Callithrix jacchus: one gene and its partners. The protein of the gene in region 1 purifies or fractionates together with the protein of each later gene. This does not show direct contact. Links are inferred from orthologs where the notes say so. Each region holds a gene or a part of one and is shown in the gene's direction. Other genes may lie near its edges. The genes, in order: PLK1, PPP6C, ERCC6L, ZC3HC1, TMF1, RANBP2 and PRKAR1A.

Region 1 (4,227 bases):
AGGGCTGGGTGCGGTGGCTCACACCTGTAATCCCAGCACTTTGGGAGGCCGAGGAGGGCAGGTCACTTGAAGTCAGCAGTTTGAAACCAGCCTGGCCAACATGGTGAAACTGTCACTACTAAAAAAAAAAAATGAGCCGGGCCTGGTGGTGGGCTCCTGCAATCACAGCTACTTGGGAGGCTGAGGTGGGAGGATTGCTTTCAGCAAGCCAAGGTTACAGTGAGCCGATCGGGCCACTGAACTCCATCCAGCCTGGGCGACAGAGGGAGACTCCATCTCCAAAAAAAAAAAAAAAAAAAAAAGGAGGCCTAACAAAACCCCGCAAGACACATTGGCTATGACCTACGAGTTTGTTAGGCATTTTTCCAACCTTACCTCCCTTTGACCAAGAAACAGTGTCCTCCATTTTAGGCCCTGGGAAATTCAGCAGCGAGCAGGCCAGACAGCTTCGTTGCATCATGGGGGGCTCTGGTACTGTGCTTCTCCAACTTCAGGATGTGTAGGAATCACCTGAGCAGTCTTGTTGAGAGGCGGACTCTGACTCGGGAGATCTAGGGTAGGGCCTGAACATTTGCCTTTGTGGTTCTAACAAGCTCTCAGGTGATGGGGATGCTGCTGTTCCCTGGCCCCTCCTTTAAACAGCGCTGCTCCATAATCTTGAGGAGCTCAAAAGCAGCAGTTATTTGAAGGAGCAGGACTACAGTACTGGCCATGAAGGTATGTTTGGCAAGCACACTTTTACTTAATTTTAATTCATTTGGGGTGGCTTGGCTGAGAGCTGACAGCATCGGAGGCGAGTGTTAAGGCTCTCCCAAACTACTTTATTGGCGTGCCAGGTCCCTACTCAGCTTACATACTAGGTGGGGTGGAGGTGGAGGAAAGTCTAAGGAAAAGCTTAATGGAGGAGGCGCAAGTGAACTGCAGGAGCTTTCCCGGACGCCCAAGAAAGGGAGAAACCCTAAAGAAATTCCTCCCTTCTCGGGCCGGGTCTCCGTAGCCACGCCGGGTTTGGTTTCCCAGGCTATCCCACGTGTTCGGGTGTCCCTGTCAATCAAGTTTTCCCCGGCTGGGTCGGGGTTTAAAGGCGGCTGCGGGGCAGGGCGCTCCCATGGTTCCGCGCGGCGAGCGGGTTTGGATTTTAAATCCCCGCGACCAATCAGTAGCGCGCAGGCTTTTGTAACGTTCCCAGCGCCGCGTTTGAATTCGGGGAGGAGCGGAGCCTCTGCTCGGATCGAGGTCGGCAGAGCAGCTCCGAGAGCATGAGTGCGGCGGTGACTGCGGGAAAGCTGGCACGAGCACCGGCCGACCCTGGGAAAGCCGGGGTTCCCGGAGCTCCAGCGGCGGCCCCACCAGCGAAAGAGATCCCAGAGATCCTAGTGGACCCACGCAGTCGGCGGCGCTATGTACGGGGCCGCTTTTTGGGCAAGGGCGGCTTTGCCAAGTGCTTCGAGATATCGGACGCGGACACCAAGGAGGTGTTCGCGGGCAAGATTGTGCCTAAGTCTCTGCTGCTCAAGCCGCACCAGAAAGAGAAGATGTCCATGGAAATATCCATTCACCGCAGCTTGGCCCACCAGCACGTCGTAGGATTCCACGGCTTTTTCGAGGACAACGACTTCGTGTTCGTGGTGTTGGAGCTATGCCGCCGGAGGGTGAGTGTCGCTGCTAGGGAACTGGAATTGCCTGCGGGGCAGTTGGAGAGCCTGGACCTGGAGCAGCTGCTGGAAAGAGTGCCCAGGAAGGGAGTGCCTGGGACTTGGAGCTGGTTGAGAAGGGTGCTGGGAGCCTCCCGCTTAGGTATGGAAAGTGTCTTTGGTAAGGGCTTCTTGCCTCTTGGAACTGCTAGAAGAGTGGGTTCCAGTGAAGTGGAGTCTGAGTCAGGTTGCTGACCGGGAAGTCAGCTTCTGGACGCTGGGGGGAGGGGTGCTGGTAATGGACTCTAGGGCCCTAGAGTGCCCAGGGAGGAGTCCCAAGGTTAGTGAAGCCGCGCACTGGGAGCTTCCGGAGTGGGGTCTGGTCAGTAAGGAGGTAGTTGCAATCCAGACTTCGGTCCTTCCCGGGGAAATAAGAATCAGGAAAGGGATCTGCTGCTGGGCACTCGGAGCTTCCGGAATGGGGCTGAGAGAGGACCCCCAAGTAAGAGAGGAAGCTAGGGGAAGGGGTGCAGCGAATGGTTGTGAGTAGTGTTAAAGGAGGGTCCAGATAGCAATTGTCCTGGAGAATGGGGTGGGGGCTTAGGAAAGGAGAGAAACCCACCAAGACGCCACTTTGATCCGCCAGGAGTCTAGGTCCTGTTCTTCCTTTACCTAGTAGTAACCCTCTCCCTTCCCCACCGGCCTCAGCACCACCCTCCCATCCCTCCTGCCCTCTCCTTCCCACCCACAGTCTCTCCTGGAGCTGCACAAGAGGAGGAAAGCCCTGACTGAGCCTGAGGCCAGATACTATCTGCGGCAGATTGTGCTTGGCTGCCAGTACCTGCACCAAAACCGAGTTATTCACCGAGACCTCAAGCTGGGTAACCTTTTCCTGAATGAAGATCTGGAGGTGAAAATAGGTGAGTTGCTGAGCCTGCAGGGTGCTTGACATCCCTACAAGAGGCTGGAATTTGGAGGAGGCTGGGAGAAAGGATAGGAAGGAGACCAGGAGGAAGGAAGAGGATGGATGGTGAGAAGTTTGGGCGTTGATTGCTTCTATAATTCTCTCCTTTGTCCAGAAATTTAAAACAAACGCCCACAAGTCAGTATCTTGCCTGAAGACACATTATAGCCCCAATACAGGACTTTTTTTCAAATAATTTGAGTTTGTTTCTATTTTTTAAAGTGGAAAGCTTGACATAAAAATTTTGATTCAGAGCTCCTTTTAAACAGGTGAAAGCTCCAGTAATACGAGGGCGGCATTTTCTTAGGGCAGCCCATTGCTGGGCTGGAAAGCAGCTGTCCCTTCTGACATGTTTGCCAAGGTCTCTACTCCTCCCTATTCTTCACAGGCTTGCCAAGTCTTGGCGGTTACTTGCTTGATTCTTGAAGGCACTGGAGTTTTGCTGTCCCTGTCAGTTCCCATTTTGAAGCATAGCCCCTTTCTAAGGGGTAGGGTTGTGAAGGGTCACTGGAGGCACCTCCCTGAGGTCAGCATGGCAGGAAGATTTCTGGGCAAGCCTTGCGGCATACAAGGAGCAGAGGCTTGTGGGATCAAATGGCTCTGCTTCTTGATGGTCAAACCTTAACTAGCTTTCTGCATTGACAGATGGCAGAGGCTGGCATTTAAGTACCCATTCTTCCTCCCTCTGTCCCAGGGGATTTTGGACTGGCAACCAAAGTCGAGTATGACGGGGAGAGGAAGAAGACCCTGTGCGGGACTCCTAATTACATAGCTCCCGAGGTGCTGAGCAAGAAAGGGCACAGTTTCGAGGTGGATGTGTGGTCCATTGGGTGTATCATGTAAGTTGGGAGTTGTCTTTGGATCTGCCTGGTCTCAGCAGGGGCAACTTTGGGACATCCTACTTGGCTGACCTTTTCTATGGACCTTTCTGCCTGCTTTACAGAAAGCCTATTCTAGGGGACAAGTGACCCCCAAACGAAGCCTAATTGCTGTATCTTTCCCTGTCACTGGTGTATCCTATCAGATTTCTGCAGCCTAGGCCATGGGTACAGAGGAGGAGGAGGAGGAGGAGGAGGAGGAGGGGGAGGGAGGAGGGAGAGTCTTCACAGCCTTACTTTAGTCCTTTGCTAGAGTGGTCCACAGGGCAGCATCACCATCATCTGGGAACTTGTATGCGGAATCTCAGGGCCCAGACTACTTACTGGATCAGAATCTGGATTTTTAACAAATCCCTTGGTGATTTCCATGCACAATAAGGTCTTAGAAACACTGATGAGCATTAGCATGGTGGGAGAAATTAGGCCAGGAGTTACAGATGGCAGGATGAGGTGCCAGTGGTCCCTCTGGATTGAGACCATCAGCTGCGATTGGTGGCAGGCAGAGGCTTGGGCCTTTTCAGGTATTATCTTTGTTTTTGGCATAGGTACTAGAGAGTTAGAAATAAGTCATAGCGATGGCTTTCATGTGTCTTTGAGGTGGGTTTGTTTTTAATGAAAACTTGAAGCCTTAAGTACAGAACTGCTAAAGGTGGAGCTGCTTCTGTAAGTGCAGGTAGCCCTTTGACGTGTTTTGCAAGGCAGGCAGCCTCTGAGGCCCTTGCACAGAGTCCTAGATACCCTCAGGCTATAG
Region 2 (4,411 bases), on another chromosome or scaffold:
ATACAGCAGCTTCCTTTTACTAATTTTATTTTATTTATTTTTGAGGATCTCGCTCTGTCCCCCAAGCTGGAGTGCAGTGACACGATCTCAGCTCACTGCAACCTCCATTTCCTGGGCTCAAGCGATTCTTCTGCCTCAGCCTCCAGTGTAGCTGGGACCACAAGCACGCACTACTGCCCCCGGCTAAATTTGGTAGTTTTTGTAGCTACAGATAGGATAGAGATCTTTGTCTATTTTGTTCACTAAGTATTCCAAGCGCCTGCAGCTGTACCTGGTACATCTTTGTTGCTCAATAAAGAGCGGTTGAATAAACTACTGAAGGTATGCGGTACTGTTCTCCGTGCTGGAGTCACAGCAGAAAACTCCCTGCCTTCGTGGGATTCTCACTGGAAGTATGCTTAAGCTTAAGCCATTTTCCAATCTTGGCCCCACCATTTGTTCCCTGTGAGATTTGGGGTAAACTACTTAAAGCCTCCAAGTCTCACTTTCCTACCAATTGTTACAAAGATTAAATGGAAAAATAGAATTTGTATCGCATTTAGCATAAGAAATGTTTTTTTTTTTTGAGATGGAGTTTCGCTGTTGTTACCCAGACTGGAGAGCAATGGCATGATCTCGGCTCACCGCAACCTCCGCCTTCTGGGTTCAGGCAATTCTCCTGCCTCAGCCTCCCGAGTAGCTGGGACTACAGGCGCCACCACCATGCCCAGCTAATTTTTGTATTTTTAGTAGAGACGGGGTTTCACCTTGTTGCCCAGGATGGTCTCGATCTCTTGATGTCGTGATTTACCCGCCTCGGCCTCCCAAAGTGCTAGGATTATAGGCGTGAGCCACCGCGCCCGGCCAAGAAATGCTTTAATATTTCTTTATCTTCCTTTCAGGCTGGAGCCTGACATTTGTGCCACAGGCTTAAGCGAGGTTTTCACAGGCACTTGGAAAGATGCAAACAAGTTACTACGGCCAGGCTTACCCAGTTGTTAAGTGAAAGTGAGAGAGTGCTTAAAAGGGTTGGAAGGAGAAACGAGTGAGTGGCTAGGACGACCTACTCCGCCGTTTTGCCTCGGAAAAGCCTCGCCCGCTGCCGGGAGGTGAAAGTCTGGAGGAACTGAAGGGGAGGAAAAGAAAGGGGTGGCTGTCCACAACGGAAAACTACAAATCCCGGCAACACCCGCGGCAGGCGACTACGGGTCCCATCAGAATTCGCAGGCTGGACCGATGGGGGGGCCTCTTGGGGCCTGCAGCCGGGGTTCAGCCAGAGGGGGCGCCGGGCGTACCGAGGTAGCGGGGAGAAGCGGGTCGCGCTTTAACGGCGCTGCGCAGACGCCACTCACGGTCCGGACGTGACGTAGGAGAGTTCCGGCTTCGGCCTCCGCCGCTGCCGCCGCCGCCGCTGCTTTTACAGCCGCCGCCGCCGCCGACCCCGCCGCTGTCGCCGCGGCTTGTTATTCTCAAAATGGCGCCGCTAGACCTAGACAAGTATGTGGAGATAGCGCGGCTGTGCAAATACCTGCCAGAGAACGACCTGAAGGTGAGCCCTGCCGGGGCGGGAGCGCTGCTTACAGGCTCGCCCCTTCCGGCTGTGGGGCGCCCGCCGGCCCGCCCTTCCTCTCTTCGTGGGACCCCCGCCGGGTATCCCGTCTCTCCGCGGTGGAGGGCCCTCTCCGATGCCATGCGACCCGGCCCGACCCGGCGTCACGCCAATGGTTGGGGGAACCAAGTCCCCCAAATGATGTCCTAGTTGCCTCAGTGGGTATCCCAAGGGATTTCGCGGCCTCTACCCCAGGGTCGCCCCTTTTGGCCTTCGGGCTGCCCCAGGACCCGTAGCTGCAACAGCTTTGCTTAGCAGCTTTCCACCCCTTCCCGGGATCTCCGGCATTCACTGCCGAGCCCCCGCGGCAGTGCCCTCGGGATGGGATCGTCCCCGTTGGAGGTGACAGGAGCGCAGAGTGGCCGGCGTCTGACAGGAGTTGCCACAGGCTCTTGCAACGCGGCCCCAGTTTGTTTAGGTCTCTGAGGAAGGGGAAGGCGGTGGGTCCGAGTGGTTTGGTACTGACGAGAGCGAATGTCAGATCGTCCCTCTTCTCTGCCACTCCTCCACCTTCTCCAAATTGCCTTTTAGGACCGTGGGTTTTCTTCTGCTAATTCAGAGGTGAACCCGTTTCTGAGTATTTTGTTGAGCTTACTGAAGTGGAGAAAGTAGTTGGTTCTTAATAAATACAAATACTTTCCCCTTAACCCCTTCTTAACTCAAGATTTCGTTTTCTTGGTTTTCTAAAGAAGACGAGTTCCTCGTTGCCCTTGAGTCCAAGTAAATGTATGTATGGGTAAAGGAATGAGTTTGATATACTGCTTTTCTTTTCAACTTATTATTTATTTATTTATTTTATTTTTCTTTGAGACGGAGTCTCTGCCGCCCAGTCTGAAGTGCAGTGGCTTGATCTCAGCTCACTGAAGCCTCCGCCTCTTGGGTTCAAGCGATTCTCCTGCCTCAGCCTCCTGAGCAGCTGAGATTACAGGCACATGCCACCACGTCTGGCTCATTTTTGTATTTTTAGTAGAGATGGCGTTTCACCATGTTGGCCAGGCTGATCTTGAACTCCTGACCTCGTGATCTGCCCGCCTTGGCCTCCCAAAGTGCTGGTATTACAGATGTGAGCCACCGCTCCCTTCCATCATTATTTTTTATTGAAACAGTCTCACTCTGTCATCCAGGCTGGAGTGCAGTGGCGCGATCTTGGCTCACTGCACCTCTGCCTCCTGGGTTCGAGTGATTCTCCTGCCTCAGCCTCCCGAGTAGGTGGCTGACACCCGGCTGTTTTGTATTTTTAGTAGAGACGGGTTTTTGCCATGTTGGCCAGGCTAGTCTCGAACTCCTGACCTCAATTGGTCCGCCCACCTCAACTTCCCAAAGTGCTGGGATTACAGACGTGAGCCCCCGCACCCGTCCTAGGTATGCTGCTTTTTTGAAAAGTGTTTATGCATTTGGTGAAACCAGTGCTTATTAGGTTTCTAGCAGTGCTTATCAGCTTGTGCTAGTTATTTATCTTAGTGTATTCTTCAAGAAATATATTACTGTGGGTTTTGTTTGTTTCTTCTTTGGTATTGGAAGTTGATACTTAACATAAGTCAACAAGTATGCATAATGTTTGAGGCCACACATGCTGTTGTGAATGTAACTGAATTGTACTTATATGTTAATTTTATGAAGCATATTATAGGGGAGTCATTCTTGTGTATGCTCCCATTTTTAATAGGATAATTTAAAATAAGGATAGAGCCTTCATTAGTAGCAATGTAGCATACATACTCATCAGTCCTTCAGACATTTGTTTTGTGGCTTCTTTCTGCTATGCGTGTTTCTTTTTTCTTTTTTTTGGAATAAGAATACAACTAGCATTGGGATCCAATTCATGGAAAACTAACCAGACCTCTTAGTAGCATTATTAATCCTGTAGGTGAGGTTGACTATTGCATGTCAGTGAATTGATTTGGAATTTTTTCTTTTTATTTATCATGTGTAAAGCTTTTTTAAACTTTGTGTTTATGATAAATAAAATGTTTTTTTTTTTTTTATGATAACGTCTCAGGCATGGCATAATCCCAGCACTTTGGGAGGCCAAGGTGGGCGGATCATCTGAGGTCAGGAGTTCGAAACTAGCCTGATCGACATGGGAAACCCCATCTCTACTAAAAAATGCAAAAATTAGCCTGGCGTGGTGGTGAGTGCCTGTAATCCCAGCTACCTGGGAGGCTGAGGCAGGGTGAATTGCTTGAACCCAGGAGGTGGAGGTTGCAGTGACCCAAGATCAAGCCACTGCACTCCAGCCTGTGTGACAGAGGGAGACTCCATCTCACAAAAAAAAAAAGAATCTGTTGGACTTCTTTGGACCTCTTACTTTGATAAACATTAGATTTCCTTCTTACCTTAATGAAATATAGTTTTTAGACCATTTTATTTCCTATTGAACACAACTGCATTATACTTTGCTTCTATTTGTTTTTCTTTTTTTCTTTTCTTTTTTTTTTTTGAGATGGAATTTCGCTCTTGTTACCCAGGCTGGAGTGCAATGGCACGATCTGGGCTCACCGCAACCTCTGCCTCCTGGGTTCAGGCAATTCTGCCTCAGCCTCCTCAGTAGCTGGGATTGCAGGCACGCGCCACCATGCCCAGCTAATTTTTTGTATTTTTTTTTTTTTTTTTTTTTTTGAGACGGAGTTTCGCTCTTGTTACCCAGGCTGGAGTGCAATGGCGCGATTTTGGCTCACCGCAATCTCCGCCTCCTGGGTCCAGGCAATTCTCCTGCCTCAGCCTCCCGAGCAGCTGGGATTACAGGTACACGCCACCGTGCCCGGCTAATTTTTTGTAATTTTAGTAGAGACGGGGTTTCACCGTGTTGACCAAGATGGTCTC
Region 3 (4,527 bases), on another chromosome or scaffold:
GGTGACTTCTGAAGAAATGGTGACCACAGCACAACTTCTTTCTTTCTTTCTTTTTTTTTTTCTTTTGAGACGGAGTCTCACTCTGTTGCCCAGGCTGGAGTGCAGGGGCACGATGTCGGCTCACTGCCACCTCTGCCTCCCAGGTTCAGGCGATTCTTCTGCCTCAGCCTCCCGAGTCGCTGGGATTACAGGCAAACGCCACCATGCCCAACTAATTTTTGTATTTTTAGTAGAGATGGGGTTTCACCGTGTTGGCCAGGCTGGTTTCGAACTCCTGACCTTGTGATCTGCCTGCCTTGGCCTCCCAAAGTGCTGGGATTACAGGCGTGAGCCCACGTGCCCAGCCTTTGTTTTTTGTCTTCCTCTTGTTACACCAAGTATGTAAACCTAACTACTTATTTCTTAAATAAGAACTTTAATTTTTTTTTTTTAGTTGGAGTCTTGCTCTGTCACCCAGGCTGGAGTGCAAGTGGCACAATCTTGGCTCACTGCAGCCTCCACCACCCAGGTTCGAGATTCTTGAAGACCGTTCTCTCTCTCTCTTCAAAATAAATACAGCATAACGCCCTGTGGAAAAGAAAAAAATATTAAAAATTAAAAAAAATAGAGACTTCACTATGTTGCCCAGGCTGGTCTTGAACTCCTGAATGCAAGTGATATTTCCCTCCCCTTCCCCGCCACCTCGGCCCCCCCCCCCACAAAGGGCTAGGATTACAGGTTTGAGGCACTGCGCCCAGCCTTTTTTTTTTTTTTTTTTTTTTTTTGAGACTGGATCTCACTTTGCCACCCAGGCTGTAGTGCAGTGGTGCAATTGCGGCTCACTGCAACCTCCAACTCCCAGGTCCAAGCGATTCTCATGCCTCAGCCCCGAGTAGCTGGGACTGCGGGCGCCCGCCATCACGCCCGGCTAATTTTTGTATTTTTAGTAGAGTCAGGGTTTCACCATGTTGGCCAAGCTGGTCTCGAACTCCTGACACAAGTGATCTGTCCGCCCCAGCCTCCCAAAGTGCTGGGATTACAGGCGTGAACCATCGCGCCCGGTCGCTTCTTCAATGTGAGTTTAAATCATAGAGACTATGCCTCCCAGGGTGTTTGAATTCAAAGCACGCTCCGTGCCAGGTACTAGTGATCAAGGAATAGAGGATATCTGTGGATGCGAGGCGGGGTTGGTTGGGGGGACACAGGCGGCGGAGGAGATCTCCAGGTGTTGCTACAACGACTGAGACCATACTGGGAAGTCTCCTCCACGCACAGTGATGGAACACGCACGCGCAAACGAATTGGTCGCAGCATGGTTTGAACTGGGTTAAAACGCGAGGCGCCACAGAGTGACGCAACACACTCAGTGTGTTGCAGGCAGAGATGGCCTCCTATCTCCCGGCGCGCGTTTATGGGCGGGGTTCAGGCGGTGGCGTCGTAGCGTGCGGTAGGGGATTGGCCAGCCGCGAGGCCGACGGTTGACTGCGTCCCTTTCCACAGGCTCAGAGAGCATGCGCAGGGCGGCAGTGAGCGAAATTCAAGCTCCAAGCTCCTGCCGAGGTAGCTGGAACCGGATTCGAGGGTCATGGAGGCGTCCGGAAGGTTTCCGGAAGCCGAGGCCTTGAGCTCAGAGCAGGCTGCTCGTTACCTGAGGTATGTTTGGGCTGCTGGGCGGGTTTAGCTAACCGACCTGGCCTAGGGCGGAGGTGGGGTGGCCCCCCCCCCGTATCCCTCTGGGGACTGAAACTGCTGAGGCGGAGCCTTGTGAGACGCGTGCTCACTCTCTTCTCGCAGTAGGGTGTGGTAGTAAGCTCTGGATGTTTGACCAGATTTCTAAAACTTGGGGAGACCCCGATGCCTCTCCTTTTGGGCAAATGACCCTCTGGTATGAGCTCCTTAAGAGCCAATGCTTTAATCAAACCTTTCTTGATTCTTTTCAGTTTATCAAGGCCCAAATCTAGGGGATACAGAGATGAGTAAAACAAGGTCCCTGCGCCCCAGATTGCTTGTAATTTAGTAGTGGAAACAGATCTGCGAAGCGATAATTACTATATTTAATAAGTGCTGTAAGCGGTATAAGGTACGTGCAGGGCATCGTGTTGGCATAAACGAGGGGATGGCCAACTACAAGAGTGGTCAGCCAAGGGATGGAGTGGCAAGAGGAGACATTTGAGCTGTGCGTTGAAAAATGAGTAAACATTCAGCAATTGGCTAAGGGTGGGGGGGCATGGTAATGTTGGGATGAGCATTTAAATTTTTTCTTAAATTGTCGTAAAGTACACATAACATAAAATTTTTTTGTGCAGGAGATGGGTTTTACGGAAAATAAAATGTATCACCTTAACCATTTTTAAATGTACAGTTAGTACTGTTAACTGCATTCATATTGTGCAACTGTCCATCACCTCCAGAACTTTTTTTCCATGTGGCAAAACAAACTACTCCCATTAAACAACTCTCCATTTTCCCCTCCCCTCAGCCCCTAGCAACAAGTATTCTGTCTCTATGAATTTTACTACTTTTTTTTTGAGACAGGATCTTGCTCTGTCCCCCAGACTGGAATGCAATGGCCTCATTATAGTTCACTGCAGCCTTGAACTCCTGGGCTCAAGCAGTCCTCCTGCCCCAGCTTCCCTAACAGCTGGGATTATAGGTGGGTGCCACCATGCCCAGCTAATTTATTTTTTATTTTTTTAAATTATTTTGTATATATTTTTAGAGACAGGGTCTGGCTCTGTCACCCAGGCTGGAGTGCAGTGGCGTAATCTCTAACTCGGCTCACTGCAACCTCCATCCCCCCCCCCCCCCTTGGGCTCAAGTGATCCTCCCACCTCAGCTTTCCCAGTAGCTGGGACCACAGGCGGATACCACCACACCCGGCTATTTTTTTTTGTACTTTTAGTAGAGATGGCGTCTCGCCATGCTGCCCAGGCTTGTCTTGAACTCCTGAGTTCAGGCAGTCCTCCTGCCTCAGCCTCCCAAACTGTTGGGATTACAGACATGAGCCACCATGCCAGGTCTTTCATTCAGATTTTTCCAATTGTTTGCCATTATACTTTTGTTGTAATAGGCAGCCTTTGTGCACTTTTTAACTGAGTATACACTTTGGAAGTGGGATTGCTGGTCTTAGGGGATGTGTATTTAAAATCGCTATTCAAGAAAACCATGCCAGAGTTTAATAAAATCAATAGTGTGAGTAAGAATTTATTTATAGGGGCCGGGCGTGGTGGCTCAAGCCTGTAATCCCAGCACTTTGGGAGGCCGAGGCAGGTGGATCACGAGGTCAAGAGATCAAGACCATCCTGGTCAACAAGGTGAAACCCCATCTCTACTAAAAATACAAAAATTAGCTGGGCATGGTGGTGCGTGCCTGTAGTCCCAGCTACTCGGGAGGCTGAGGCAGGAGAATTGCTTGAACCCAGAAGGCGGAGGTTGTGGTGAGTCGAGATCGTGCCATTGCACTCCAGTCTGGGTAACAACAGCGAAACTCCGTCTCAAAAAATAAAAAAAAAAGAATTTATTTATATTTTCTCAGGCTGGTGTGTGATGAGCTATATGAGTCAACTCAAAAGTTAAGATACATAGTTTTACTTTTGAAACCAGAACTTCTAGTATTTTCTTCTACAAATATACTACACGAGTGGGCAAAGATGTGTGTGCGTGTGGATACAGTAAGTCCTCACTGAACATTGTCCATAGGTTCTTAGAAACTGTGACTTTAAGTGAATGACATAGTAAAACCAGTATTTTTCTCATCAGTGTTGCAGTAAAATGATACTGAATGAACCAGTGTTATTCAAGGGCCTGCTATGCATCATCTTGCTTAAAGTTGCAGTTGCCAAGAACCTACTGACCATGTTAACTGAGGACTTACTGTGCATATAAACATATACTACAGGTGTGTGCCACCAAGCTTGGCTAATTTTTAAAAGATTTTTGTAGAGATGGAGGAGTCTCGCTGGGTTTCCCAGGCTGGTCTTGAACTCCTGCACTCAAGTGACCCTCCCACCTCTGGCTCTCAAAGCACTGGGATTATAAGCGTGAGCCACCACACCTAGCAGAATCATACTTGCTATTACATTTCCATTATTAACCACCATTTAAGCATTCTACTCTCCAACTTCTACCTTACTCCCTCTAGTACACCTATTCCAACAGCCATTTGATGTCATTGGGACCTGTAGTTCATTGATTGCATCTTTCACTGTTGCACACCCCTCAGGTTCTCAAACTCTCTCTCCTTATAGAGTTTGAAGTTCAGAGTCAAATAACTTCCTCGTATACAACTTTAACTTATTTTTTTTCTCTTTCACACTTCATTATACTGGCTTGGCAAGACCGTAGCCTTCATGTGGTAAGTAGATTAATGGCCTCCTGAGGATCTCCACATACTTTCTGAACCCTGTGAATATGCTACCCTCATATGTTAGAGAGGAATTAAGGTTGCTAACTAGCTGACCCTAAAATAGGGAAATTGGAATATCTTGGTGAGCCCAGTGTAATCACAGGGTGCTTAAAAGTGGAAGAGGGGCTGGGTGTGGTGGCTCA
Region 4 (3,801 bases), on another chromosome or scaffold:
CCAGCTGGAGTCCTTAAGGCCCCCCATGTTGCTATTTCCATTCCAGCTGCTCAATTTGGCAGAGACTTCCACTATCCTTAATCTACCAAAGAGAGCATATTTAAAATAAGTCAAGATTGGTTCTGACAGTAAATAAATCTTGATTTATTTTAAATATGCTCTCTTTGGTAGATTAAGGAATGTTTTTCATGTAAAGGGAAAAGGTTTAAGGAGGGACAGGAGAAATTTTTAAAACATGCCTGCAAAACAGTCTCACCATAGAGAGCACACTAAGAACCCCAGGTCCTTCTATGGGAAATACATGAGAGATGATGAAGCATGAAGCTGGGGTCCTGAGATTGGAACACAAAGGCTCTGACAGGACATGGTTCCCGTCCACTGGACTGTTCCAGAAATTGGATGAGATGAAACATACTCACAAGACATTACACTTAGTCATTTGGAAATATGACACTTTGAGAAAACTCTCTTTTTCATTTCTGTCTAGTTCCTCTTTGGAACCCATGCAGCTCTGCCTGATAACATGTTCGCAGTGTATGAGGAAGGTGGGGCTCTGGGGCTTCCAGCAGATTGAGTCGTCCATAGCTGATCTGGACACATCATTTGGCCTGACCAGCTCCCCTATCCCAGGGCTTGAGGGGCGGCCAGAGCGCTTCCCTCTGGTGCCTGAATCTCCTCGGAGGATGATGACCCGGAGCCAGGATGCCACTTTCTCCCCAGGCTCAGAGCAGGTATGCACTTAGCTTGTTTGGGGTGGACTTTTTTTTTTTAACTGTCTTCTGAAGTGAATGAATTGAACTGGGGTGGACTTTGAAACAACATTCTTGGCAAAAATGTTGTTGCTAGAAAGTTGGAAATTAATTTAGGGAGATAGGCTTCACTTTGCACTACACTGGTTACAATGCCACGTGGTGTTTCTGTTCACTAATGGAGAAGCTAAATTCAGCCAGATGTGGTGGCTCATGGTGTAATCCCAGCACTTTAGGAGGCTGAAGCAGGCGGACCACTTGAGGTCAGGAGTTTGAGACCACACTGGCCAGTATGGTGAAACCCCATCTCTATGAAAAATACAGAAATTAGCCAGGCATGATGTGGGGCCTGTAGTCCCAGCCCTTGGTAGACTGAGGCAGGAGAATCACTTAAACCTGGGAGGCAGAGGTTGCAGTGAGCAGAAATCACCCCGCTGCACTCCAGCCTTGGTGACAGAGCAAGACTCTGTCTCAAAAAAAAAAAAAAAAGATTAAATAAAGAAGTATCTCTGACCATGATCATTAATATCATTTTCGTACTTCCATTATCTCCCCTTTCCTTCAGGCTGAAAAGAGCCCTGGTCCCATTGTCTCTCGAACTCGGAGCTGGGACTCCTCCAGTCCTGTTGACCGTCCTGAGCCAGAGGCTGCTAGCCCCACCACCAGAACCCGCCCAGTGACCCGAAGCATGGGAACAGGAGACACCCCTGGCCTGGAGGTACCATCTAGCCCTCTTCGGAAGGCCAAGCGAGCTCGCCTCTGCTCCTCCAGCAGTTCGGTGAGTCCACCTCGCATCTAGCAGTGGCTGAACATAGACAGCATGTTGGGATTTCCCTGGGCAGCTTGGAGAAGCAGGCATGAGCCCTTCCATGGTCCAGTGCAAAAAGTAGACCATGTGACTAAGTTTAAAGTTGGGTGACCAAAGGGAAAAAATGTCAGTCATTTGCTCCTTTGGGGTAGCTTCTGGAGAAATAATAGATATCTCAGGCAAATGGAGCAGCAGTGTGATACGGGGACAAACCTGATAAGGCAGTGGTCTCCAACCTTTTTGGCACCAGGGACCGTTTTTGTGAAGACCATTTTTCCACGTACCGGAGTTTAGAGGATGGTTTGGGGATGATACAAGCACATTACATGTATTGTGTACTTTTTATGTAATGAAATAGTTATACAACTCACCATAATATAGAATCAGTGGAAACCCTGAGCTTGTTTTCCTGCAACTAGATGATCTCCTCTGGGGTTGATGGGAGACAGTGACAGATCATCAGGTGTCAGACTCTCATAAGGAGCCAGCAGCCTAGATCCCTCAAGTGTGCAATTCACAGTAGGGTTCCTGCTCCTATGAGAATCTAATGCCGCTGCTGATCTGACAGGAGGTGGAGCTTAGGCAGTAATAAAGGATGCGGAGTGGCTGTAAATACAGATGAAGCTTTCCTTGCCTGGCTGCTGCTCACCTCCTGCTGTATGGCCTGGTCCCCGTCCATGGCCTGGGGGTGGGGTATCCCCTATCCCTTGTGATAAGGTATAGTTTGTTTAACACGAAAGGAGTGAAAAAATAAGGAAAATATCTTGGCAGAGTTTAAAGGAGAGCATAAACACTTGAAGTATGGGTAGTTGTGAGATTCTGGATTTGATGACTAATAGCAGTGCCTCCCTGAACTTACATAGCATCTGCCCATGAATGCTATTTCTTTTTCTCCTTCCTCAGGACACATCTTCCCGAAGCTTCTTTGATCCCACCTCTCAGCATAGAGACTGGTGCCCTTGGGTGAATATCACACTTGACAAAGAAGGCAGGGAGAATGGTGGAACTGAACCAGATGCTAGCGCCCCAGCAGAGCCAGGCTGGAAGACAGTGCTGACCATCCTGTTGGCCCACAAACAGTCTAGCCAGCCAGCTGAAACAGACTCTGTGGTGAGATAAGCTATTACCTTGTGCGTGGACAGCCCTTGCTGTTTATGGGAGGAGGAGCAGAGGCTGGTCCTATAATTAGCACCCTGCCTGCCCTCAGCTTTCATATGTCAAGTTATTTCAGTTTTTTTGTTTGTTTGTTTGTGAGACGGAGTTTTGCTCTTACTGCCCAGGCTGGCATGCACTGACGTGATCTCTATCACTGCAACCTCTGCCTCCTGGGTTCAAGTGAGTCTCCCGCCTCAGCCTCCCAAGTAGCTGGGACTACAGGCACCACACCCAGCTAATTTTTTTTTTCCTTTTTTTTCTTTTTCCTACAAACTACACAAAGACGTTTTTGTTTTTTTGAGACGGAGTTTTGCTCTTTTGCCCAGGCTAGAGTACAGTGGCACAATCTCAGCTGACTACAACCTCCACCTTCTGGTTCCAAGCGATTCTCTTGCATTAGCCTCCTGACTAGCTGGGATTACAGGTGCCCGTCACCATGCCCAGCTAATTTTTGTATTTTTAGTAGAGATGGGGTTTCACCGTGTTGTCCAGGCTGTTCTCAAACTTCTGACCTCATGATCCACCGACCTCAGCCTCCTAAAGTGCTGGGATTACAGGCGTGAGCCACTGTGCCCGGCTAATAGGTCAAGTTAGACTCATTTTGCTTTCATCCTTGGGAATAGGCGTAGAACTGGTTTGTCTTTCTGCACTTTAGCATATGGCATTCCATCAAGTTCTGATAAATTCTTTTGTTCTCTTAAATAAAATGACTCCAAGTAGAAAAGGAGTACAGAAACAGAAATAGATGAATAGGCAGCTGCTCCAGCCTCATGTTGCAGACAGTTGCTTTTTCTTTCAGTTGCCATCACTTGCACCTGGCCAGTTAACTTAGCTGTTTGGAGCACTGGACTCTGTCACCAAGATGATGGCTTCATTCTGCACGCTGGCCACATTACTTTACTCTGTTCCACAGCCCAGACTGTGACTCTACTAGCCATTGCAGCCATGACTGCTGTGGGTTACAAATGTGGGTGTCGACTGAGAAGAAAAGTCAAGTGTTTGCTGTGTGTAAAGATTGGAAGTGATAGGCTGGGCAATATGGAACCCTAAACACTGGGTCTCTCCTTGGCTGGCTCACTCCCAGCTTTT
Region 5 (3,801 bases), on another chromosome or scaffold:
ATCATGGCTCACAGGGTCTCTCTCTGTTGCCCAGGCTGTTGCCCATGCAGTGGTGTGATCATGGCTCAGAGCAGCCTCGACCTCTGGGGCTCAAGCAGTCCTTCCCCCTTATCCTGTCTAGTACCTGAGACTACAGGCTTGTACCATGCCTGGCTTTTTTTTTCTTTTTTTTAATTTTTACTAGAGATGAGGTCTTACTATGTTGCTAGGCTGGTCTTGAACTGCTTGGCTCAAACAGTCCTCCCATCTTGGCCTCCCAAAGTGCTGGGATTATAATCATGAACCTGTGCCCAGCCCTACTTTCATTTTATTTTATTTTATTTATTTTTTAAGACAGAGTCTTGCACTGTTTCCCAGGCTGGAGTGCTGCTCACTGCAACCTCTGCCTCCCAGGTTCAAGTAATTCTTCTGCCTCAGCCTCCCAAGTAGTTGGGACCACAGGCACGTGCCACCATGAGCAGCTAATTTTTGTATTCTTTGTAGAGAGAGATGAGTTTTACCATGTTCGTCAGGCTCGTCACAAACTCCTGAGCTCAAGTGATCTGCCCTCCTTGGCCTCCCAAAGTGCTGGAATTACAGGTGTAAGCCACCATGCCTGGCCTCTACTTTATTTATTTATTTGATTATATTTTATTTTTAGATAGAGTTTGACTCTTGTCACCCAGGCTGGAGTGCAATGGCACGAGCTTGGCTCACTGCAACCTCTGCCTCCTGGGTTCAAGTGATTCTCTAGCCTCAGCCTCCTGAGTAGCTGTGATTATAGCTGCCCACCACTATGCTTGGCTAGTTTTTTTATTTTTAGTAAAGACAGAGCTTTACCATGTTGGCCAGTCTTGTCTCAAACTCCTGACCTCAGGTTATCCACCCACCTCAGCCTCCCAAAGTGCTGGGATTACAGGCATGAACCCGGACTTCTGTTTTTTAAATGCAACATATCATACTAAGAAAAGGGTACATGTTTCAGGTGAAGAATAATAAAGAAAGCAGACACTTGTATATCCACTACCTAGCTAAGATAGTCTTTAAATCCTCTCTTTGACCTCTTTTGATTGGATCCATCTCCCTTCTCCTTTTGGTGTATATGCAGACGATTCCAGATTTTTGCGATTACCAGGAAGCTACAATAAGTATTCTTATCCCCGTCACCTAGTGCATTTATGCAAGAATTTTCTCCTCTAAAGTTTACCTAAAAGTGAAATTTTCTATATCAAAGAGTATATAGATCTCCAACTAGATATTACCTAATTGTTTTCCCAAGTGGTTTCTCAACTTACACTCCCACTAGCTCTTTGGTTGTACTTACTTGTACTCTCCTATCCCCTGCCTAAGAGTACTTCTTTTTCTGCATCCTCTGTGTTCCTAATATTGTTCTTAATTGTTTTTATGAGATAAAGCTGTTTTCTTTATTATAGTGATATACCTACATGTAGAAATTGTCTTTTTTAAAGCTAAGTGCGCTGACTTTTTGGTTTTCTCCTTATCCAGACAGTTGAATTTCTGAATGAAAAACTGGAAAAAAGGGAGGCTCAGTTATTATCTCTTAGTAAGGAAAAAGCACTTCTAGAAGAAGCTTATGATAACCTGAAAGAGTAAGTATTCTACAAATGTAAATAATGTTACACATTTTCTGGAGGTCTGTATACTTTGTACATATTTAAGAATTTTTTGAAATTAAAATGTTTTGTAATTTTATCATTATTGAAAGTTGTATAGGATTTCAGTTATAACCTTAAAGATTACTTTTCTGCTTTGTCTTTACCATATTACCTTTGGCATTGAAGAGAGTCATTTTGCAAAAACTGCAAATCTCTTTCCGTTCATGTTTAGTCTTTCAGTATTACAGATTTAAAACATGTATTTAAAGAAAACTGTGTTATTGTAGTTTAAGAAAATACTGGGTATTGGTTTACTATGAGGAGCTGATTGGGAAAATGTGACACAAAAAGATTCAGAATTGAGACACTGTATTTACTTTCTGTTATTTTTGCATGTCAGATATTGGTAACATTTTCAGTTTCTAAAAGGTTTTCTTTGAGGTATTTTAAAACAAACTTAAGGGAAATGTCCTTATTTTTTTCTTAAAAGTTCTAATAGTCCCATAACTGTTCTATTTTAATAAGGTATATGTCAGAGAAAAGTTATCTTCCTTTTGAGAACTGAACTCAAGTGTACCTTTGGGATATATAAACACCATCCTCAATTCTCAAATATTGTTTTAAATTTAGTGAAATGTTCAGAGTGAAAGAAGAAAGCAGTAGCATTTCTTCCTTGAAAGATGAGTTTACTCAAAGAATTGCAGAAGCAGAAAAGAAAGTTCAGCTAGCCTGCAAAGAGAGGGATGCTGCTAAAAAGGTAATAGAAATTTAAAAATAATATTAAACTCTATAAGAGATTTTTGAGGAGTACATTCATCATGTTTTGATAGTGGAAAAAAAGAAAAGCAAGGTAAAAAGGGTATCATATATTAACATTTAAATCGTAGATTTTTGGCTAGGTGTGATAGTTCATGCCTGTAATCCCAGCACATCGGGAGGATGAAGTGGATGGGTCACTTGAACCCAGAAGGTAGAGAGTAGCCTGGGTAACATGGTGAGAACCCGCCACTACTAAAAAATGCAGAAAGTTAGCTGGTTATGCTGGTGTGCGCCTGTAGTCAGCTACTCAGGAGGCCGAGGAGGGCAGATTGCTTGAGCCCAGGAGTTCAAGACAAGCCTAGGCAACATGGTGAGACCCCATCTCTACAAAAAATACAAATATTAGCTAACCATGGTGCCATGTGCCTGTGGTTACCTGAGCCCAGAAGGTTGAGGCTGCAGTGAGTCGTGATTGTACCCACTCTACTCCAGCCCAGGTAACAGAGTAAGACCCTGTCTCAAAAAAAAAAGGAAAGTTAATATATGCTCATTTATGTTTTCATATTAAAACTTGCTTATATATCTGGATTTAGGTTTTGTATATCATTTTCAAAGCTGTTTTCTCAGTCTTAGTTAACCAAGGTAGTAGATTAATTGAACAAAACTTACAGATTCTTATTGAGAATGTGATTATGGATAGCTTCTTTGGATGGGGGAAAAAAATGAGAACTATTCTTAGAGTGAAAGTAATTCTTTATGGTATTCACAGATTTCTTTTTTATTAGGAAATCAAAAACATAAAAGAAGAACTTGCCACTAGATTAAATAGTAGTGAAACTGCAGACCTTTTGAAAGAGAAAGATGAGCAGATCCGAGGGTTAATGGAAGAAGGTGCGTAAAGTATTTAGTTGACTATAGAAAATATTGTAAAAATAGGAAAAGTATTTGCTACATACCTAGCTGATGCTTCCTAATTAAAAATACTGAAAGCAAGGAGGATTTGGACTTAAACTATAGAAATAGTAGGTAACAGTTTGTGAAATAATGAGGAAGAAGATATGTTGAGACAGAGATATGTGTTTGTAGCTTTTGTTTTTAGGGAGTAAAAAAAAAAAAAGTAAGACCCTAGTAAAATAGACAAAAATTTGTGCTGCCCTAAAAACTGTCAACAGGTCTTAAGAGCCTGTCATTTAACCCAAGATATTCAAAGCGTGTAATTCTGGGATTTAGGTAATATCTGAATACCTAGCTTGGGTTCTGTATGATATTGTATTGTTCTGGCATTTGATAGTGAATTTTTCATTGTATTCTTAATTTTTAAATTATTAAGAATTTTTGTCTCTGAGAAGATTTAAAATTAACAGTGTTGGCTGGGTGTGGTGTCTCATGACTGTTATCCCAGCACTTTGGGAGGCCAAGGCGGGTGGATCATTTGAGGTCAGGAGTT
Region 6 (3,801 bases), on another chromosome or scaffold:
AGGTTCAAGCTATTCTTATGCCTCAGCCTCCTGAGTAGGTGGAATTACAGGTGTATGCCACCACACTTGGGTTTTTTTTTGTTTGTTTGTTTTTTTGTATTTTTAGTTGAGACTGGGTTTCACCATGTTGGCCAGGCCTGTCTTGAACTCCTGACCTCAAGTGATCTGCCTGACTTGGCCTCCCAGAGTGTTGGGATTACAGATGTGATCCACTCCTGGCCTGGCCTATCTTTCATAGGTTATATAAATTCCTTGGTTCCCAGTTTTGGTAGTCTTTTCCAGTTCAGTTTAATTAATGGTTAAGTGTTAATTTATTATCAAAAAAAGTACAGTGTAATAGAAAAGACCGTCTTACTATTAGAAGGATGGGTATCATAAAATTAAGATATTTGATTCTAAAATTATTAGGTTCCAAGACCAAAGCTTAAATTAATAAAAGGAGAAGCTGGACAAAATCTGCTGGAAATGATGGCCTGTGACCGTCTGAGCCAATCAGGTAATGGTAATGTTAAACTAATTTAAAAAGAAAAAAGGTAAATTTCTGTTAAGGCATGTCTTATGATAAAATCTTCTGTCTGTCCAGGAGATAATTTATCAAAATCATTTCTTTTGCCATATCAGTTAAGAGCAATAGGTGTGGAAGAGATGAGAAGAAATAGTATATTCTTTAAAAGAAATGAATATTTTATATTGTTTGTTCCTAGGTGGAGAGGATTTCTTAAATCTTTCTTTATCTGGCTGCTACAGCCTCTATCCTGAATATTTCATCACTTTCTGAAGTATAATTATTGATTTGTCAACCGTTTAACACCAGCTGCTTCTAAAAGCACTGCTGTGGGAATATAAAGATGAAGATACGGATCTGTCTTAAAGAGCTGAGAGCTTAGTGAGGAAGATAGAAGATACATATTTACCTTGTATTAGGCTCTTGGAATTTGTAGTTTTTTTTCTCATTTTTGGCTGATTGGGATGAATCCTAAAGGTCCGTTACAAATTACCTGTGATTTGCTAAGATACGAGCTTTAAGGTAGTCGGGTAGCCAGTGAATCAAGCACTGAACTGAAGAAACATAATGTTTTGATATAAAATTGGACGAATTTTGTAAAGAGCAAGATGTAGTATTAAATCAAAGTTATTATAAGCCTTGGTGTATGGTTAGGCTGTTGGCCAAAGCTCACATTGCTCTTTTATTCCATAGCCCACTTTTTTTGGTGGGAGTTAGACTTTCAGTCCTTAAAGTGTCTTTCTACTTTTTTCCTTTTCTGTTTTCCTTCTACCCTTGCGGGGCTCTCTTAGTGCCTTTGCAGGATGTCACAGTTAGATAAAAATCCCTGGCCAGGCGCAGTAACTCACGCCTGTAATCCCAGCACTTTGGGAGACTGAGGCAGGAGGATCACAAGGTCGGGAATTTGAGACCAGCCTGATCAACATGGTGAATCCCCGTCTCTACTACAAATACAAGGATGAGCTGGGCGTGGTGACGTGTGCCTGTAATCCCAGCTACTTGGAGACTGAAGCAGGAGAATCACTTGAACCTGGGAGGCGGAGGTTGTGCTACTACACTCCAGCCTTGGTCACAGAACGAGACTCCATCTCAAAAAAAAAAAATCGCCTATATTTTTTTATGTCTGATGTGGGCATCCCGAGGGTGCCCTCTGTGAGCATGCTGACACAACTGTGTAGTGGTAACCAAACCTGATTGATTGGCCAGCAGAATTAACTCCAAGGAGGGTGTTTAAAAAACGGTTTAATTGAAATATTCTGATATCGTACGTTTTACCCATTTAAAGTGTACAATTCAGTGGCTTTTAGTGTGTTCAAAGAGTAGTACAGTTGTTAACCACAATCAGTTTTAGAACATTTTCATCACTCCATGAGGAATTCCTTACCCATTAGCAGTCAGCCCACATTTTACCCAAACCTCTCAGCCTTGGCAACTACTAATCTGTCTCTGTCTCTGTTTGCCTATTCTGAACATTTCACATAAATGGAATCATACAGTATGTGATCTCTTGTGACTGGCTTCTTTCATTTAGCAAGGTTTTTAAGGTTCATCTGTGTTGTAGCATATGTCAGTACTTTATCCTAGGACAGTGATTTTTAGATTACTTACTGCGAGCCTGTGGAATAAAAATCTCTGGAAGCGGAACCTGGAAATAATTCTTAAAAGCTGTTTAAAGAAGGATTGTGATCAGCTAGGTTTAGAAATCAGTATATCAGAACGGAGAGTAAGAGCTTGTTGTCGCTGCTTTCCTATGGCCACTTAAATCCAAACCTTTTCATCTAAAATGCAAATATGTTTGGCATTTTTCATACATGTTTCTGTCTTTTTTTCTCCCTTCTGCTGTCTTATGTAGATACGGATAATATTAAACCTGTACTCTATTTATTTTCTTTATAAGCACCCTTTTTGTTGTCCATCTGTATTTTTTGGGTTGGAGGTTTAGGTCTGCGATAATCATGTTATTTTCCCTTTGGGTATACAAATAGTGTGGGCCAATACAATCTGTATTTTTAAAGTGATGGAAATAATTTGTTTTTCAGGGCACATGTTGCTAAACTTAAGTCGTGGCAAGCAAGATTTTTTAAAAGAGGTTGTCGAATCTTTTGCCAATAAAAGCGGGCAATCTGCTTTATACGATGCTCTGTTTTCTAGTCAGTCACCTAAGGATAGATCTTTTCTTGGTAGTGATGATATTGGAAACATTGATGTACAAGAACCAGAGCTTGAAGATTTGGCTAGATACGATGTTGGTAAGTTACATGTTTCAAAGGAAACTCTACATCTTAATCCTTATAAGTTTTCCATAATCTTATTACCTAGAAATAATGACTTAATATTTTCCTGTATTCCTTTTGTGTGTGGGTTGGGTGGCAGGAGGCGGGGTTCAAATTTGATGCTGTGGAGGTGGCATGTATTTTTTTTTTTTTTTTTTGAGACCAAGTTTTTCTGTTGTTGCCCTGGCTGGAGTGCAGTGGTGCGATCTGGTCTCACTGCAGCCTCTGCCTCCTGGGTTCAAGTGATTCTCCTGCCTCCGTCTCCTGAGTAGCTGAGATTACAGGAGTCCGCCGCCATGGCTGGCTAATTTTTTGTATTTTTAGTAGAGATGGGGTTTCGCCATGTTGGGCAGGCTGGTGTCAAACTCCTGATCCCAGGTGATCCCTGCTTCCTGAAGTGCTGGGATTATAGCTGTGAGCCACCACGACTGGCCTTGTTGTTTTCTGAGACAGGGTCTCACTTTGTCACCCGGGCTGGAGTGTATGGCATGATTGGATCGTAGGTCACTGCTACCTTAAACTTCTAGGCTCAAGGGATTCTTTTGCCTCAGCCTCCTGAGTAACTGGGACCACACACACATGCCACTCTGCCCGGATAAGTTTTTTTTAATTGGTAGAGACCAGGTCTCACTTTGTTGTCCAGGCTAGTCTTGAACTCCTGGGCTCAAGGGATCCTCCCGCTTCAGCCTCCCAAAGCGTTGGGATTAGGGCCAACATGGGGGCTCACACCTATAATCCCAGCACTTTGGGAGGCTGAGGCGGGTGGATCACCTGAGGCCAGGAGTTTGAGACCAGCCTGGCCAACATAGCAAAACCCTGTCTCTACTAAAAATACAAGAATTAGCCGGGCGTGGTGGCATGTGCCTATAGTCTCAGCTACTCAGGAGGCTGAGGCAGGATATTCACCTGAACCCAAGAGGTGGAAGTTGTTGCAGTGAGCCAAGGTAGGGCCCCTGCACTCTAGTCTGAGCAACAGAGTGACTCTGTCTCAAAAAAAGAAAATGTTGGAATTATAGGCATGAG
Region 7 (2,494 bases), on another chromosome or scaffold:
TCTTTTGATTCTTGTCTTTTAGAGTCTCTGGACAAGTGGGAACGTCTTACGGTAGCTGATGCATTGGAACCAGTGCAGTTTGAAGATGGACAGAAGATTGTGGTGCAGGGAGAACCGGGGGATGAGTTTTTCATTATTTTAGAGGTAAAGAACTCGGAATTTGATACTTTAAAAAGTTGTACACTCATAGAGGGAAAGAGTGGGCTAATTCTGAATTACAGCTTTAGTTTTTAAGAATACCTTACAAATTTATTTTAAAATTATCTTTTACTTTGAAATGCTGTTGTTTGGTTTTCTGCCAGGTCACTACATTTTTAAATGAGTTTGAGTCAGAATTCTTGAAAGGCCCTAGACATGAATAGCCAAATTCTGAAAGCCATTTAACAACATACTGTGATGATTCTGTACTATCCTTGTTAAAATGCAAGTATTTGGGCTATTTGGCAAATAAGGATTAAATGTAATTATTTAAATTTGAAAAATTCCTGTATTTTTATATCTTCACATTTCATGGAAATGTATAGCAGGTACTCTTGCTTGCCAAGCAGATCCACGTGACAGATATCTATGAATGTGGCTCCATAGTTGCTAATTGATTTTATTTAAACCAAGGGTCAGGAAACTGTAAAGGACCAGGTGGTAAGTTAAGCTTTGTGGACCCATTGCTGTAGTGCAAAAGCAGCCACAAATAATATGTAAATGAATGGATGTGGTATTCCAATAAAGTTTTATTTGCAAAAGAGACAGCGAACTTGGATTTAGCCCTTCCTCTACAGTTTGCTAACCCAAGTCTGAAGAACCTTGCTAGCAGGAGATGCTGGTAAAATAGAAATTGAAGCTCATGTGGTGACTAACTTTAAAGTCCTTTTTTTATCTCATTCGTATGTAAATGGAAATAACCACTGAATTGACCGCCCCCCCCCCCATTTTTGCAAGATAGCTAAAATTGCATAGGATGTTTAAGATGCCACCTTGGGTTTGAGAGTGTTTGTTTAGCTTTTTGGTGATTTTATTGTAGGGGTCAGCTGCTGTGCTACAACGACGGTCAGAAAATGAAGAGTTTGTTGAAGTGGGAAGATTGGGGCCTTCTGATTATTTTGGTATGTATGAATTCCCTCACAATAAATACATGGTTTCTTTAAATCACCTCTCAGTGAGATACTGTAGTCTTCCATAATCTTGTCTTTTCCTGAATTTTATTTTTTTATTGCAGTCTCTTTTGGCTCTGAGAGATATAGTGTGAGATTTTTTGATCTTTACTCAGTTAATGAAATTATTGATTGTCTCATATCTACTAGTTTGTTTTTTAAGTGTAGATGTGGTGTGCCCTGTACTAAGTTATTAGAGAAATAAATATTTGTGTTTTTTCTCAGAAGTGCACTGCTTTAAGGAAATGTTTTTCATAGAAATTAGCCTGTCCTTACCCTTCCTCTTTTCCTTTCTCCAGGTGAAATCGCACTACTGATGAATCGTCCTCGTGCTGCCACAGTCGTTGCTCGTGGCCCCTTGAAGTGCGTTAAGCTGGACCGACCTAGATTTGAACGTGTTCTTGGCCCATGCTCAGACATCCTCAAACGAAACATCCAGCAGTACAACAGTTTTGTGTCACTGTCTGTCTGAAATCTGCCTCCTGTGCCTCCCTTTTCTTCTCTCCCCAATCCATGCTTCACTCATGCAGACTGCTTTATTTTCCCTACTTGCAGCGCCAAATGGCCACTGGCATCGCAGCTTCCTGTCTGTCTATGTATTGAAAGTTGCTTTGCACCATTTTCAATTTGGAGCATTAACTAAATGCTCATACACAGTTAAATAAATAGAGTTCTATGGAGACTTTGCTGTTACTGCTGCTCTTTGTGCAGTGTTAGTATTCAACCTGGGCAGTGAGTGCCATGCTTTTTGGTGAGGGCTGATCCCAGCACCTGTTGAATTACCATAGCGTAATGATGTAACAGTGCAAGATTTTTTTTTAAAGTGACGTAATTTTCCATTTATAAGCATAGACTGTGGCCATATATGCTGTATTTCTTTGTAGAATAAATGGTTTCTCATTAAGCTCTAAAGATTAGGGAAAATGGATATAGAAAATCTTAGTATAGTAGAAAGACATCTGTCTGTAATTAAACTAAGGGTGCAAAAAGGCCCATTTTTGCTAATTATCAATGGGTTATGATTGGTTCAATTTTTTTTTTCATTTTTAACCAGAATTTTTGTTTGCCAAGCTAATCTGCCTGGTTTTATTTATATCTTGTTATTAATGTTTCTTCTCCAATTCTGAAATTCTTTTAGGTGTGGCTATCTATACCTGCCTTTTAAGTTTGAAAGTAAATCATAGACTATAAATACTGGGTTAGTATTCAGCTACATCTGCCTTGGCTTACAAATTTGGATTAGACCTTTATCCAGCTAGTGCCAAATATTGATCAGATGCTGATTTGAGAATAAGAATTTGAGGTCTACAATCTTGGTTATTAATTTAGAGCTTTGGTTAAAGTAT

The links.
Region 2: the proteins of PLK1 (region 1) and PPP6C purify together in Homo sapiens (affinity purification with mass spectrometry; 4 studies listed by BioGRID and IntAct, with this or other methods). This does not show direct contact. The link is inferred for Callithrix jacchus from reciprocal best matches to the Homo sapiens genes PLK1 and PPP6C.
Region 3: the proteins of PLK1 (region 1) and ERCC6L purify together in Homo sapiens (affinity purification with mass spectrometry; 9 studies listed by BioGRID and IntAct, counting the BioPlex papers as one, with this or other methods). This does not show direct contact. The link is inferred for Callithrix jacchus from reciprocal best matches to the Homo sapiens genes PLK1 and ERCC6L.
Region 4: the proteins of PLK1 (region 1) and ZC3HC1 purify together in Homo sapiens (affinity purification with mass spectrometry; 3 studies listed by BioGRID and IntAct, counting the BioPlex papers as one, with this or other methods). This does not show direct contact. The link is inferred for Callithrix jacchus from reciprocal best matches to the Homo sapiens genes PLK1 and ZC3HC1.
Region 5: the proteins of PLK1 (region 1) and TMF1 purify together in Homo sapiens (affinity purification with mass spectrometry; 5 studies listed by BioGRID and IntAct, counting the BioPlex papers as one, with this or other methods). This does not show direct contact. The link is inferred for Callithrix jacchus from reciprocal best matches to the Homo sapiens genes PLK1 and TMF1.
Region 6: the proteins of PLK1 (region 1) and RANBP2 purify together in Homo sapiens (affinity purification with mass spectrometry; 3 studies listed by BioGRID and IntAct, with this or other methods). This does not show direct contact. The link is inferred for Callithrix jacchus from reciprocal best matches to the Homo sapiens genes PLK1 and RANBP2.
Region 7: the proteins of PLK1 (region 1) and PRKAR1A purify together in Homo sapiens (affinity purification with mass spectrometry; 4 studies listed by BioGRID and IntAct, with this or other methods). This does not show direct contact. The link is inferred for Callithrix jacchus from reciprocal best matches to the Homo sapiens genes PLK1 and PRKAR1A.

The regions. Positions count from the first base shown.
Region 1 is NC_133513.1:24,285,786-24,290,012, forward strand, and holds the start of PLK1 (serine/threonine-protein kinase PLK1), read left to right. Parts: upstream 1-1,205; 5' UTR 1,206-1,259; coding exon 1,260-1,652; intron 1,653-2,385; coding exon 2,386-2,554; intron 2,555-3,292; coding exon 3,293-3,437; intron 3,438-4,227. UniProt on the Homo sapiens protein: Serine/threonine-protein kinase that performs several important functions throughout M phase of the cell cycle, including the regulation of centrosome maturation and spindle assembly, the removal of cohesins from chromosome arms, the inactivation of anaphase-promoting complex/cyclosome (APC/C) inhibitors, and the regulation of mitotic exit and cytokinesis.
Region 2 is NC_133502.1:173,787,112-173,791,522, reverse strand, and holds the start of PPP6C (serine/threonine-protein phosphatase 6 catalytic subunit), read left to right. Parts: upstream 1-1,358; 5' UTR 1,359-1,453; coding exon 1,454-1,528; exon of another isoform or gene 1,529-1,746; intron 1,747-4,411.
Region 3 is NC_133524.1:69,461,440-69,465,966, reverse strand, and holds the start of ERCC6L (DNA excision repair protein ERCC-6-like), read left to right. Parts: upstream 1-1,490; 5' UTR 1,491-1,564; coding exon 1,565-1,632; intron 1,633-4,527. UniProt on the Homo sapiens protein: DNA helicase that acts as a tension sensor that associates with catenated DNA which is stretched under tension until it is resolved during anaphase. Functions as ATP-dependent DNA translocase. Can promote Holliday junction branch migration (in vitro).
Region 4 is NC_133512.1:117,183,164-117,186,964, forward strand, and holds part of ZC3HC1 (zinc finger C3HC-type protein 1), read left to right. Parts: intron 1-487; coding exon 488-731; intron 732-1,314; coding exon 1,315-1,527; intron 1,528-2,460; coding exon 2,461-2,667; intron 2,668-3,801. UniProt on the Homo sapiens protein: Required for proper positioning of a substantial amount of TPR at the nuclear basket (NB) through interaction with TPR.
Region 5 is NC_133516.1:50,858,004-50,861,804, reverse strand, and holds part of TMF1 (TATA element modulatory factor), read left to right. Parts: intron 1-1,485; coding exon 1,486-1,589; intron 1,590-2,225; coding exon 2,226-2,352; intron 2,353-3,139; coding exon 3,140-3,245; intron 3,246-3,801. UniProt on the Homo sapiens protein: Potential coactivator of the androgen receptor. Mediates STAT3 degradation. May play critical roles in two RAB6-dependent retrograde transport processes: one from endosomes to the Golgi and the other from the Golgi to the ER.
Region 6 is NC_133515.1:20,366,208-20,370,008, reverse strand, and holds part of RANBP2 (E3 SUMO-protein ligase RanBP2), read left to right. Parts: intron 1-408; coding exon 409-496; intron 497-2,544; coding exon 2,545-2,754; intron 2,755-3,801. UniProt on the Homo sapiens protein: E3 SUMO-protein ligase which facilitates SUMO1 and SUMO2 conjugation by UBE2I. Involved in transport factor (Ran-GTP, karyopherin)-mediated protein import via the F-G repeat-containing domain which acts as a docking site for substrates.
Region 7 is NC_133506.1:124,607,827-124,610,320, forward strand, and holds part of PRKAR1A (cAMP-dependent protein kinase type I-alpha regulatory subunit), read left to right. Parts: intron 1-22; coding exon 23-144; intron 145-1,018; coding exon 1,019-1,100; intron 1,101-1,447; coding exon 1,448-1,620; 3' UTR 1,621-2,494. UniProt on the Homo sapiens protein: Regulatory subunit of the cAMP-dependent protein kinases involved in cAMP signaling in cells.